Linked DNA regions of Drosophila melanogaster. The protein of the gene in region 1 interacts with the protein of each later gene in a pairwise test. Each region holds a gene or a part of one and is shown on either strand. Other genes may lie near its edges.

What was found. The genes of interacting proteins can lie anywhere in the genome.
Region 2: the proteins of CG1648 (region 1) and Peritrophin-15a interact in a two-hybrid assay, tested with the Drosophila melanogaster proteins (one large-scale study listed by BioGRID).
Region 3: the proteins of CG1648 (region 1) and CG31775 interact in a two-hybrid assay, tested with the Drosophila melanogaster proteins (one large-scale study listed by BioGRID).

What each region holds. Positions count from the first base shown.
Region 1 is NT_033778.4:9,809,607-9,815,449, reverse strand, and holds CG1648 (uncharacterized protein), read left to right. Parts: upstream 1-2,675; 5' UTR 2,676-2,701; coding exon 2,702-2,726; intron 2,727-2,785; coding exon 2,786-2,968; intron 2,969-3,481; coding exon 3,482-3,972; 3' UTR 3,973-4,131; downstream 4,132-5,843.
Region 2 is NT_033779.5:8,394,190-8,397,706, forward strand, and holds Peritrophin-15a (Peritrophin-15a), read right to left. Parts: upstream 1,908-3,517; 5' UTR 1,874-1,907; coding exon 1,864-1,873; intron 1,793-1,863; coding exon 1,524-1,792; 3' UTR 1,476-1,523; downstream 1-1,475. Other genes in the region: lectin-29Ca, read right to left, coding at 1-81; Peritrophin-15b, read right to left, coding at 344-615, 683-692; CG13385 (uncharacterized protein), read left to right, coding at 2,551-3,517.
Region 3 is NT_033779.5:14,735,615-14,739,575, reverse strand, and holds CG31775 (uncharacterized protein), read left to right. Parts: upstream 1-1,806; 5' UTR 1,807-1,845; coding exon 1,846-1,857; intron 1,858-1,924; coding exon 1,925-2,182; 3' UTR 2,183-2,486; downstream 2,487-3,961. Other genes in the region: CG31835 (uncharacterized protein), read right to left, coding at 2,576-3,625.

The DNA of each region.
Region 1 (5,843 bases):
TGGCCAGCAGTGCGCCCAATCGATTTGGAGCTCGCTGGAGCTGGAGCGGCATCTTCGGCAGCATGGCCAATTCAATTACAAGTCCATGCCGCCGGAATGCCTACGCCAATGTCGTGGGCTAATTTGCTCACCCGCCAGTGGGTCAGGTTTAGGGTCATTCAGTTTAATTGGCTATTAGATACACTCGAAGAAAACGAGCCGGAAAAGTCGCATGGGGTGCTGTAATTGCCAGTAATGTTAACCCTCTAAATTCCTTGATGGCAATTCATCCGCCTAATAATGGGCATATTGCGAGTAACTATTATATCATATATAGATGTTATAAAATTGTAATACAAGTTTAATGCAAATAAATTAAAAGATTATATATATGGTTTTGAAATAAGCAATAATTCTTAGCAGTATTCTAACTCATTCGAAGGTAGCAGAGCTTTCTTCTTCTGGAGTATGATGATGATAGATGGATATAAAATGCTTCAGTTCCTTTGACCCTGATCTGTCCTCCCATTTAGTTTGTATCTGCCGAAGTGAGTTAATTGCTGGCTATGAACTCGCTGGTAATCTTCAACAGCTCAAAAACGCTAAGAATATTAAGTTCTGTGATTCGAGCAACTGGAGTGACTTCATAGTCATTAGCATAACCCGCCCGAAGGGCTAGATGTCTGACCCGGCCTTGTTCTTTCCGATTATTGATTTACCTGGCAGGGTCGTGACATCAGCCATTGGATTGTCCGTGGCCAGGACACGAATCGCCCGCCTTTCCTTCTGTTGCCAGCTGACTCAGACGACCTTCGGTCGGATGACGATTGCGCCGGGTGGCCACAACAATTCGTGGGGCGTGTGAGTACCACGCCACCCCTTTCTGCCACGCGCGCTACTCTCACATATATAATTCTTTCGTATATTGTATCTCGATTGTGCAGTTGTATCTCACATGACATCATCAGCAATGGCAACAACAACGGCGGCCCCAGTAGCTCCATCGATTCATCACGGATTGTAGCTCTTTTTTTTAAGGCATCCAGAACTGGTGTGGAACGTGAGTCGGCAGACCTCAAATCGCAGTAACTCATAGATATTCGTTCCATGCCCGTATGTGTGTCCGTTCCGAGCTGGGTTCCCATGTAGCCCAAGCTACAGCTACAGCTACAGGTTTTCCTCTATCCGAGGCTTCTGCGCATTATTTCAGCTGCGAGTGCGACATCGACGAAAACAAAATCAGAGAGCAAAATCAAAATCCAAAACTAAAACCAAACCAAAACCAAAACAAAAACGACGCCAGAGGCTGTGAGAGAATCTGGGCTTATTGTGTTACCTTTTGGCCATGCTTCTAGCCGGTTTTCAGTGTTGACCACAAGTTGCCACAGTTTTGAATAAAGACTGAAGAACAAAATGCGTCGTATTACGCAAATGCCTTAAATAGGGCCGCTGGCCTTAGGAATTCCGCGTGTGTAAGCCATTAAGATATATATGTACATATATCCAAAGGATTTGGCGGGGAATATTAAACACTGCGGTTGCCTTATACGTAAGGCCACCTTTTTTAAGTTTAATAACTTATCATTCTACGAATGTATTTTAAGTATCTTTAAATACGATTTTAATTTGGAAAACAGCACAATATACTTAGCATGCATCTCTATACATATAGTTACATATTGTACAGTGTAGATTGCACGATTCCTTCCACTTAAATTGCTATTCTAGATTCTAGATTGTTAAGCAAGTCCAATGCCACATACATACATTCCTTAGCCATTAGCCATTAGCATTTGAAATGTCTGAATTCCCTTTGATTCACCCTGTTTTTTTTGAGCAGTAAAAGTAATTTTCAACACCTCGGCCGAGCCCACACATTCCATAATCTCGATACCCAGCAAGCGTAGAATAGAAACTATTATTTTCGCACAATTTTCGGCTCCTGCGGTGGCGATTGGCTCATTAAATGCGAAATGCGAAATGCGAAATTGGCCGAAACTAAATTATTTGGAAATGAGCCGAGTGTATGGGGCCATTAAAGTATCTCTGCGGAGAGAACCGAATCAGAATAAACACATTCCCGATCACAATCAGAAAGCGTGAATAGACCGCACTAGAAACTTGGGGGCGATTTCATTCGCCGGCTGCCCATTATGACATCACATACGCCGAATAATTTGAATACTCGAGCTTTGTTTGCCTCATTCGCATACAAGCATACTGTATATTACAAAGAAATTCCTCGGCTATTTCCGCCCGTTTCCGTTTCGCCCAACCGATTCGCACCCGGTTCCGAGTTGAGCGGCACAATGTTTCTATTTGAGTGGACGCACACGTCACTCCCAGTGAATGCAGATTCGAGGGGACAGCAAAAGCTGGCGCTCGTTAATTTCTATTAAATTGCGAATATAAGTCTCAAGTCTCGAATTTTAAGGCTGACGCCATGGGGCTGGCGATCACGATTTCAACAGCCCCTAGTTGCGCAGTTTCTATTAATAGGAAAGTGTCCCAGTCTAATCGATCCGATTTAGTCATGTAAATAGTTCATGCTCCAGCTGCTTTGTTTATGTTTCGGCAATTACCTGTCTGGAATTTGGAATCTGAAATCTCAAATCTCGCATCTTCGATCTGATCGGCGCTCCACCCTGCTGATTGCAATCAGGCTATAAATTATAATTAGCGCCAGGCCAGAGCTTAGTTAGCATTCAGAGGGCCAGTCAGCATGTTTCCTAGTCGCCAAAACCAAAGTAATCCCATCCAGCCAGCACAGTCAGGATCTAAAATGCACTCCTCATTCAATCCCCAGCTTCCTTGAAGAACTTCGGTGACAAGACCGCCAACCTCTTCAGCAAGAAGAAGGATGAGGCCGAGAAGCTGGCCAACGAGAAGGCTGCCGAGGCCCAGAAGCTAGCCGAGGAGCAGGCCAAGAAGGTGGGCCAGTCCGTACAGCAGACCAAGGGCGAGGCCGAGCAGTTGGCCGCCAGCACGGGTGAGTAACGAACATCCAAAAAATAATGAATGTAACACATAAAAGATGTCTTAGAGAATTAATTGGAGTTATTAATTCTAAAGACTTCCAAAAACTCTTGCAACGAAGAATTGAATGAGTCCCGTTTGAGATAACTTTCAAAATCAACTTTCAGTTCTTGCTAAAAATGTTTTCTCATTAGCATTCCATTTCCAATTTATCTAAAACGCAAATCTTTTAAGCATATCAAACACAAGAGAACTTAATAAATGGAATTCTTTAGTGACGCGTTGACGTAAAACATGTTTCCAAGAATAAGATTCGCATTTTTGAAAACATTTCTTCATAAATATTGAAATATTTCTATAATTGTGAAAAGCAATTTAATGTGCTAGAGATTTATAACTAAACAGAACATCAATGCTATGTTTTATGCTGGAGCAAAGCCCGACCAATTCAATAAATATCTTTAGGAGCACTTTTAAAGATATTTTGTAAGAATTTTTCCCACTAATATCTCTCTTTATCATACAGCCAAGGAAGCCGCTGCTCTGGCCACCGCGGAGGCTCAGAAGGCTGGACAGGCGATTGACCAGGGTGTGAACCGTGCCGCCGGAGCCGTCAACCAAGGCAAGCAGGCGGTGGACAACACGGTGGCCCAGGCGGCGGCCGTGGCCCAGAACTCCAAGCAGGTGGCGGCCAATGTGGCGGAGGCCTCCCAGCGAGCGGCCGCCAATGCGGTGGACCAGACCAAGAAGGCGGCCAACGACGCCATCAACAAGAGCGTGAAGGCCGCCGAGAACGTGGCGGACCAGAAGCTGAAGCAGGCGGAGGGCGCCATCGATGGGGCACTGAAGCAGACCAGTCAAACGGTGGACCAGAAGCTGCAGGAGGCCAACCAGTATGTCGACCAGAAGCGCCAGTCCGTCGAGAAGACCGTCCAGGATGCGGCCGGACAGGCCCAGGAGTCTGCCGGACAGCAGGCCAACGCCCTGTTGGGCAAGCTGCATCTGGGTCAGAAGTAGAGGCGTCTCCCTTCGCGGTGCCACCTAAAATATCTTGATGTGAAAATGCTTTAGATACAAAAACAAAAAAAATAGAAAGGAATTTGCTTCAATGTAACGAGTGCCAGTAATGTGATTGCTAAATCCTCAATTGAATATACACAATATATATATATATATATATTTACATATTTTTTGAATATCGCGCGGACGGATTATTTTGCAGCCGCTGCTTTCGATGTGAGCATTTCAGCACATCCTCTGTCCGTATCCGTACAAAGTGTAATTAACCCCTTCGTTCTTCTTCTTCGGCCGAATTTTGTTACTTTGAGGCATTTGATATTTTATATACAGCTGCGCTGAGTATGCTTTTAATATACGTATATTCTGTTTATGTAGAGATGTATGATTAAGTACCTTTAACTCTTGCACAACACATTGCAAATGTGTTTTTAATATATTGGATTCGAATGAGATTTGTGGTCTTTCAATTGGTGGGGGTGCCACTAAGCAAAGCGTATTATATGTATATATTTGGATATACTGATGTTATGTTGATTATATTATTACTGAAACTTTTATTAACTCATTTTCAATTTAGCGCCAAATGGTGATGTATGGTAATACTGTAATCTGGCCACACTGAATTTACTTCGGCTGCAAGCGCAAATAGCGCCACCTACATGTGGGATAGAACGCTGAATGGTTTGAAAACAGGGTATCCATGTTTTATCTCGCTTTTACCGTTTCATTCAAAAAAATTAAATTACTTTTTAATGAAGTTTTCAAACTACAAGTTTACTTGATGTATTTATTTGGGCTTACTATTTAATTACTGACTTATCTTGGCCATTGGTTGTTCAGAAAATAATATTATTTCTGGACATATTTTGAGCATATAATTACAGCTATATACAATTTCTTTAATAAAACCAATAAATCAGTTATAAATTCTACACATTCCACTGTTCACCCAAAAGTGGTAACATTTTATTTTGCTTCTAAGACAAAAGAAGTTTTTTCCGGCTTACCCTTTCCCCTTCCTCCAGAGCTGCCTGTCTCATTACAGAACCTTTTCACAGATCCAAGGTGAGCAGCAGGGGAAACTTTCGCAGAAAAGCGGACCATGGAGATGGACGGATCTATACAAATAGACCGAAACATGCAGAAATCTGCTAATAGAAGAGGTCATATTGTGTACTCCGATATGTCGGGCAACTTTTCGTCGAACAGAAGCCGAAAGTTGTGTTAGGTTTTAATTATGGGAAAAGTTTGTTGTGGCTAACAAGTGACCCCGGTGCATTGCAACGTCAATTGAACGCACAACTTCAAAGGACCAAAGGACGAAAGGACCAAAGGACGAAAGGACGCTAGGAATGTGTGCAAAGTATTGGCAGCAAAGTGCTGACATAAATTCAGGTAAGAGCGATTTTTAATTTCAGATAAGTGCGCCTGCTGACTGGAAAGGCGAATGATAAATGCATTCCATTTGCGATTCAAGTACTAGTGGGTGCGAGGCGCCAAATTCAAATTTATGCCGGCCACGCAAAAGTCGCGCCAATTAGGTTAGCCCAAGCGAGTTGATTTAAAGTTAAGCGATACGAGCGGCGCGATTAATTACAATAACTGTTTATCAACACATATTAATCATGGTTTAACATGCTCCCAGCTCGTGTTGACCCAAGCAAAATGGCGTGCAGCGGAGTTCCGGTCATGTTGGGTATGCCCACTCCATACCCTCCATGGGCTTCCTTTAATTTTCAAAGTTTAGAGGGCGACATAAAGTGAATATATTTGGTGAGCGTAATATCGTTTTTAATATATTATGACCTTATTTGTTGGTATTGCCATGCGTTTTTGAAACACTCACGTCTCTCCCAGCAGCTTGATGC
Region 2 (3,517 bases), on another chromosome or scaffold:
AGTATCCTGCTTTTTGGCACTGACGCCCCAAAAGTTCCATAAAGCGAAAATGGAGAAAATGCAAGTTGCGTACTTGTACATTTCGAGGGCTAATAGTCTGTGAGATCAATTATTTAATTCCTCCTCGGACTAACCCTTTTTTTTACACTTCCCAACGAGATAATCACCCGGAACATTAACCTTTTCAAGCATTAAATACTCTGTTAAAAATTCGATAAAGATCCGAGAAATCTAGAGATATATTCTAGACTTCATTCAAGCCCATCTTCCCAGTTAAATACCATTACAAATGAACCAAAAAAAGTTAATGAAAAACGTATAAACTGCAAGAGAAGTTTATTGCTTAAGTGGATGCTTCGGAACATGGAGGATACCACTGCCAAACGCTCCAATCGACGCAGCTTCCAGTTTTCGGATCGAATCCAGTGTTCTGCTCGCAGGCAACTAGCTCGGCCTGTCCGGTGCTAGAGCACTGCCAGTAGTGGGTTGGATCCCAGAAGTCACGGGAAATCTCTCCGGAGCGTCCCACGCAATCGGGCTCACCATTGCCATCGGGATTGCAGTCAAGGTCGGCGTAGATGGCAACGCAGAGGGTCAGGAAGAGAAGGACTAAAGCTGAAACAGAATTCCGCTATTGGCATCTCAATGGTTTCAGCGATGTGAGGTCATCAATGAAACTCACCTGCTTTCATTGTGGTTTGTTCGAGTGATTAATACCGAATGCGATTGGAACGCAACGTTCGACATTTTATAGCCACCTGCTATCTATTCCCTGACATATTGTCTGAGACAATCGGAGCTATACATTCTATTTCTTAAAGAACATGAAATCGTTTAAAAATAATCTCATGATCACGATTGGTATCTGTATCTCGACAATTCGAACATTTGACGCCGTCGTACAATTCGTTTTCAAACAAAGAAGTATATTTCACCAAGTGTTGTAGTATACTTAGTTATGATATTAAAATATTATTGAACAAAAAATTTGCATATGATTTGTTTGAATTGACCGGCTCCTATTTAGACAATTTATACCCTGTAAAACTTTACACACTGAGACACAGTGTTTTTGAAATAAACAAACAAATTTTGAAACCAAGCTCTAGTTAAAAAATAAAGTTGTTTGTAAAATTAAAGTATATTGTTTATACTTTATATGATAAAGTATAATTTACTTTTCTCTCGTTCATAAACATTTTATTGCATTAAATGCAAATTAGTAGCAATACGAGTACTGTCTAATCTTTATAGGTTTCCAAGATATCATTTGGACAAAAACATCTCAAAAATGTTATTTACAAATAATAATGAAACTCGTTAACACTCAACTGTACTCAACATCCTATAGAAAGCGACTGAGCAGAAACAAAATATTCTATATACCAATCTAGGTTGCTCTATAACATTTTCCCATATCTTCGAATACTCGCAAGAACATGAGATATTTTAAAAATCCAAACAATGTATGTAATCATTTAGTTTGCCATATATTTTCATTTTTGTTGTTATTAAAAATGCAATCAACAGTAAGCAGTCCAAGACCATTCGCTCCATGAAACGCACTCCTTCTTTGTGGGGTCGAATCCAGTGGACAACGGGCACAACACAGCCGTGGCCGTGGAGGTGGAGGACTCACACCACCAGTAGCGAGTGGGATCCCAGAAGTTGCGGATGTTCGTTTGCACGTTGGATGCGTCGCTGCAGTCGGGCTGGTTGTCAGAATTGGGATCGCACGCATTTCCGGTGCTTAGGAGCGCCACGAAGAAGGCAAGGCAGATCAAAAGTAGTGCTATGGGATCGGCAAAGGGTTGAAGTATATTTCAAATGGGGATTCCTTTTCGATTTGCTCAGCTAACTTACCGGACTTCATGGTGCAATTGAGTTCCCACTGGTTTCGTAAGTGTGCTTTAACTGGGCGAATTCGCAAGCTTATATACCCCAGACCGGCACTGATATTGGCTTTCATCAATAGCAGTTATCTCCGTTGGCGGGAAGCCTGTGCGAAATTCTATTTTGGCAGCGACATGAAATCGTTTCAAAATAATCGCACCTTGTATCGCCCACCGTATCTGTATCTGTATCTCAGCGCATTGTACGCGCCCCTAAGTTTTGTTGACGCAATAGTTTGATTATATGGATGTGTCGTAAAGGTCATGCCGCGTGCCACAATCCAAACTGGGTAGCACTCCTATCAATAAGTTAAATATAGTACAAAACTAGGACAGTAAGGTTTATAATCGAAATTTAAATTTGGGGGCTTCTATTCAAATACCTAATACTTAACCGTGGGGAACCCCACATTCTTAACGCAAACAAGTCATTAGAATTACGCATTTATATTTATATTAATATACTACCCTTAACTGTTGGTGATAGCACTACCGCACTACTAACCTGGTTTTTAATCAACCCATCCGCTATACCGTATACCATACATATCGAAATATAAAACTCCAAAATATAACATTAAATCGCAGTAGGTGTCACACAACTAATTATTTGCGATATTAATGATTACAAATTGCTCGTGATAAATCTCCCATAGCGATGGAGTCGAGGGTCACCAGCGGCACAGGTCCACCGAACACCATTATGATCCAGCTGGTGTCCCAACAGCCCAGTTCCTGTGGACAGATGCAGGCCATGCCCATTTCGGTGCAGACGATACCCTTGTTCCCCAATTCCAGAACATCGACAGAGCGACCTTGTCGATCGGTCTCCATTGCCCCGAATGTAAGACCTCCAACGGATGTCCCTCCTCCTCGAAGGAATTTAAGAATCCGACCCGAGGAATATGCGACACCCAAGCGGAAGAATTCGCAAAGCCAGTTTCGTCATTTCTCCCGCAGCATAAACCAACCTCCACCGGTGTACTATGTTCTTCGACCAGAAGACCGTATTATGCCCATCTACATACCACCTCCGAGGTTTAACAATGAGCAAGGATCAAGGATGGCGACGGAGTGTCCTTGCTGTGGCCATGCCAAGTCATTGAACCCGGAGGAACCTCTAAGAGTCCACGTAGCGCAGAAAGAGTTTGTCAAATTAGAGAAGGCAACTCCTGGACATCGGGATCAATGTACTAACACCATTGACCAGCCAGATGTGGGAAATATAAGGACGATTTACGAAACATTGGGACGCGCAATGGTCACTGCAGCCGTGGAGGCAGCCCAGAGATCCCAGCCAGCAGGACCCTCAGATCCGACAAATGTAATATTGAAACTATTAACCCAATTGGGGGAGCAGAATCAAACAACAGGCTTGAGTCCACATTCAGAAGCAGTAGCAGAAAGTCCCGACCACCAACCACATATGCGCAGGCCCAAAGCTAGCTTTACGGAAGCAGTCCGCATGATGGAGAGGACCTCGTCTGATCCTTCCATTGCTAAAGGGCCACCAGATGAGCTAGATGACCAACGTAGGCTTCCATCTGTACTCTCCGATGGTCGTCTTCGCGTCGAATATCCGAAAACGCCTAGACCAACACCAACATACTCCGTCGAATCTGAAA
Region 3 (3,961 bases), on another chromosome or scaffold:
CTCAAAGGATATTTTATATTTGCTCAAATCAGAATGCAGTTATCGAAAATTAAACTTCCCTTGAGCTGAAAATTTAGCTTGAATTTATAATTATACATATGTCCAAATGTAATACAGCTTCAGTGTGTGTACACATAAAATTCAAAACCCAAAAAATCCACAAAAATTGCTATTTTAGTAGGTATTGCGTTGAACACATCGGTTCTAAATGTGGCTGTTGTGCCATTAGTTACTCTTCTGTCTCTGTCTCGGTTTGAATCTCCATCTCGCTCTCTTCTTTTTAATTTTCCCGACTTGGTGCGCGGCAGTTGTAATAGAAGTTTTCCGGCTTCATGCACCTCCGCCCTTGCACCACCCCCTTTCGGCGACCATTGTGGTGGATTCAGTACACTCTTAAAAATAAGATGTTTAATAAACATATAGCAGGTGGAAGCCGAATGGAGCGATTTGCACCAAAACAAAGTAATAAAAACAAAATTTTCTTATTTTTTGCTTATTATTTCCTATCGAAATCTATATACCCCAAGCTGTGATTATTAGATTAAGCGTCTGCGATGAGGTAGCAAAATTCTAGCACTGCATTAACAGAGCTGATTTCTGATCAGGGGTTGAGGACCTTTAGCCTGATCTTTCTTCTTGTTAATTTGTTTTGCTTATTTTGGAGCTGATTAGCTATATACCGATTAAAAGCTTTTCAATTGCCACTAAAAAAAAAGTATAAGAAACGGCGAAGACTTTTTAGCGCTGCATTTAAATTCACAAGCTTAACAGTATTCTTTTAGGCTGAATTTGCTCTCAAAAAAAGTACAATTGGTTTGGAAAATTTTAAATGTTTTTGAATGTAACCAAACACAGCGAAAAAAAATACAAATAATATTTCTTTAAAAAAAAGGATGTAAAGAAATAAACTAGTCTTATTAGTTTAATAAATACAATTTTTTAAGACACATAATTTCTATGTTTTTATAGACGGTACTTGTGGAGTAATTGAGTATACCAAATTCTTTAAAAAGTCTGTGGGAGTTCGAAGAAGGCGTTGCCGAACCTTTACCTATACAGAATATATATATTCTTCACCAGCATCACCAGCGGAGTCTATCTAGCCGTATTCGTTTGGCCATCTGTCTGTAAGCCTGTCTGTATGAACTGAATGAGATTCAGACCTCTAAATAGTTCCAATTCTTTCAGAACCTGTGCCAACAACACTCTAGATTCTTCATTGATTTCATCTAGTCTTGTCTTGTAAATATCTTAGTTCTTCTATTAGCTAAGAAATGGGTATCTGATAATCGAGGAATGCGACTATAGTGGTCTAACCTGTTAAGCGCTAAAATTCAAAGACATAACATAATTATACGTATGTATAAAAAATTAATCCATGATTACAAGGATTTCATACTTAATTATCCCTCCTCATTTCGAAAGTCTAATGATAACCCAGAAAAGCAAACAAGAACATTTGTTGCCGTAACACGTTTGTGATGCGTGAAAACGGAACATAAATGATCTAAAGTAATCTCAAACAACGTCTTCTTCTAAGTCGCCCTTAGTTTTTCTTAGCAACTGTTGCGGACTTATTAGATTAGGCTCGACTTCCCAGATAAGATTGATGTTGAAGGGTTCCCCCCGTTGAGCATAGGCATTGATACAGTGCTCAAATATTAATTTCCCAGACGTCTGGAAATTTTTTTCGTATTTTTGTTGGGTTAATTGTACTTGATTTTGTCAGAACATTGATAATACTTCGGCGCGTGACGACATGATGAGATTGCAGGAGAGTATAAAAGATCGGAGGCGTCCAAAAATTTTATTCACATTAGCAAGACTAACCGAAGTATCAGCACCATGAAGTTTTTGGTACGTTTTACATATACGCTTCAAAGAAAAACCTTTAAGAACTAAGTTGATTTTAATATTGTTACAGATCCTCTTCATTGCCCTATTCGCCGCGGCCGCTGCCCTACCTCAGTTTGGATTCGGCGGTGGATTCGGTGATCAGCAGCAGCAGCAGCAAGGAGGATTTGGAGGTGGATTTGGTGATCAGCAGCAGCAGCAAGGAGGATTTGGCGGTGGATTCGGAGGTGGATTCGGTGATCAGCAGCAGCAGCAGCAAGGAGGATTTGGAGGTGGATTCGGAGGTGGATTCGGTGATCAGCAGCAGCAACAGCAACAAGGCTGGTAAAAACCAATTCATAGCACCGTCTTAACGCAGATACCTCAATAAAAATATGACACCTTTATGATAAAAAAACAATTGGAATTTTTTACTTTATCGTTCTCGAAAATTTATGAGTTTTATGAAAATAAATTTATATTTATTATTCATTTATATTTATTAAATAGTGCCCAGAAATAAATACACTTAACATAAGGGACAACGGGAAATATCTTCTCTTTCAGATGTTCAAATGGTTTTACTTAAAACATTGTAAATATAAATAAAAGCCAAAATATAAAAGCCATATTATAAATATAAGCCAAATTTTCACAAAAATTTTGTTTTTCTTTGAAATATGTAACGCAACTAAAAAGCGGATTCAACATGATTGAAAAAACAGATACAATTTCGAGTATCCTAATCAATGGCCTCCTCAGCAGCCACCCTTTTGTGCTCCTCGATCTGCACCTTGTCCAGATCGACTCCATCTTTTTTGGCTGCCCGTATCTCGCCTTCCCCCTCCGATCCGTCTAGCTGGTTGGTCTGCCAAACTCCTGTCCACGGCAGTGACATCACTGACATGACCTTGACCAGACTGCTATGGTTTTCCTGGTCTAGATCACTCTCCCCATTTCCTTCCCGTATTCGTCTGTCTCCATCCGGCAACTGCAACTCCTCGCAGCACAGCATGGAAATCAGCAAGTGCTCAACGAAGAGGGTTCGCCGCAGCCTTTGAGATTCGTCCGTATCGTGGCACTGCACTTTTTGCTGTGCAATCCACTGAAGTAGAACATATCTGTCGTCGTCGTGTTCGAATGGCCCCCCGGAACTCAAGCCTAACGCCAGGGACTCTGAATTGGCTGCCTCCTCTGGAGGATCATTGTTGCTTAGGAGCTGGGGATCGGAGCTCACACGTCCAGTTGACAGCCATACGGATATATCGAATATCCTTGAATTCGGAGTTGTTTGCAACTGCGATTGGCGGTGGTGGCGCATGTGATTACGGGTAAATATTCGGCGTAGTGGCGGTGTGTCGGGCTCTAGGTAATTGGCGTGATCGATGTGGTTGTGCAGGAGATGTTTGGAAAGGTGGCGTATGGCCACCAGTTCGGCGGCCGACAGTCCGGCGCACATGGGGCAGACCACATATTCATTGGACACCCGATGTTGAACGTAAACATGTTCGATGAACCGCTTCGCTGTGAGCGCAAGTAGGCCGCAATGTGGACAGGTGAAGCAATTGGACAGGTGGACCAGCTCTGGGATTTCGCCGTAAAGCAGCGGAACCAGATCGTCCGAGTCAGGGAACAATTGCATGGGATGATTGGCGCGATGCTCTTCCGTTTCTATCTGATGATCGTAGCATATGTCACATAGGTTATAGTTCACGCAGCGCAAACACCGGAAGCGGCTACCCTGGAAGATCGTCATTTGACAGCCGTTGCAGCAAATGTTGCGGTGACCCATCCTCGATCCTTGTGCTAACTTCGTTCTTAGCGAATATACCTAAACTCTGGTCGAAAAAACGGGCAAAAGGGTTCTAAATTTTAACAAATCGAATCTATACAATGACATGATTTTCATAGATGTAAAATATTTCGGGGCGTTTGGTAATAACATATAATTCTACTTTTAAAACTATTTTTCAACCTAAATGTATCAAACTTACTCAAGCTTTCTACATATTTCCTTTGCCTCTTTTAAACAAATGTTTATTTTTGGAACCTTAAGTACAGCGAAAAAAAAGTTAAATAAACATGCACTGTACTATTTTGTCCGGTGAGCACAGCTATCTACGTGACA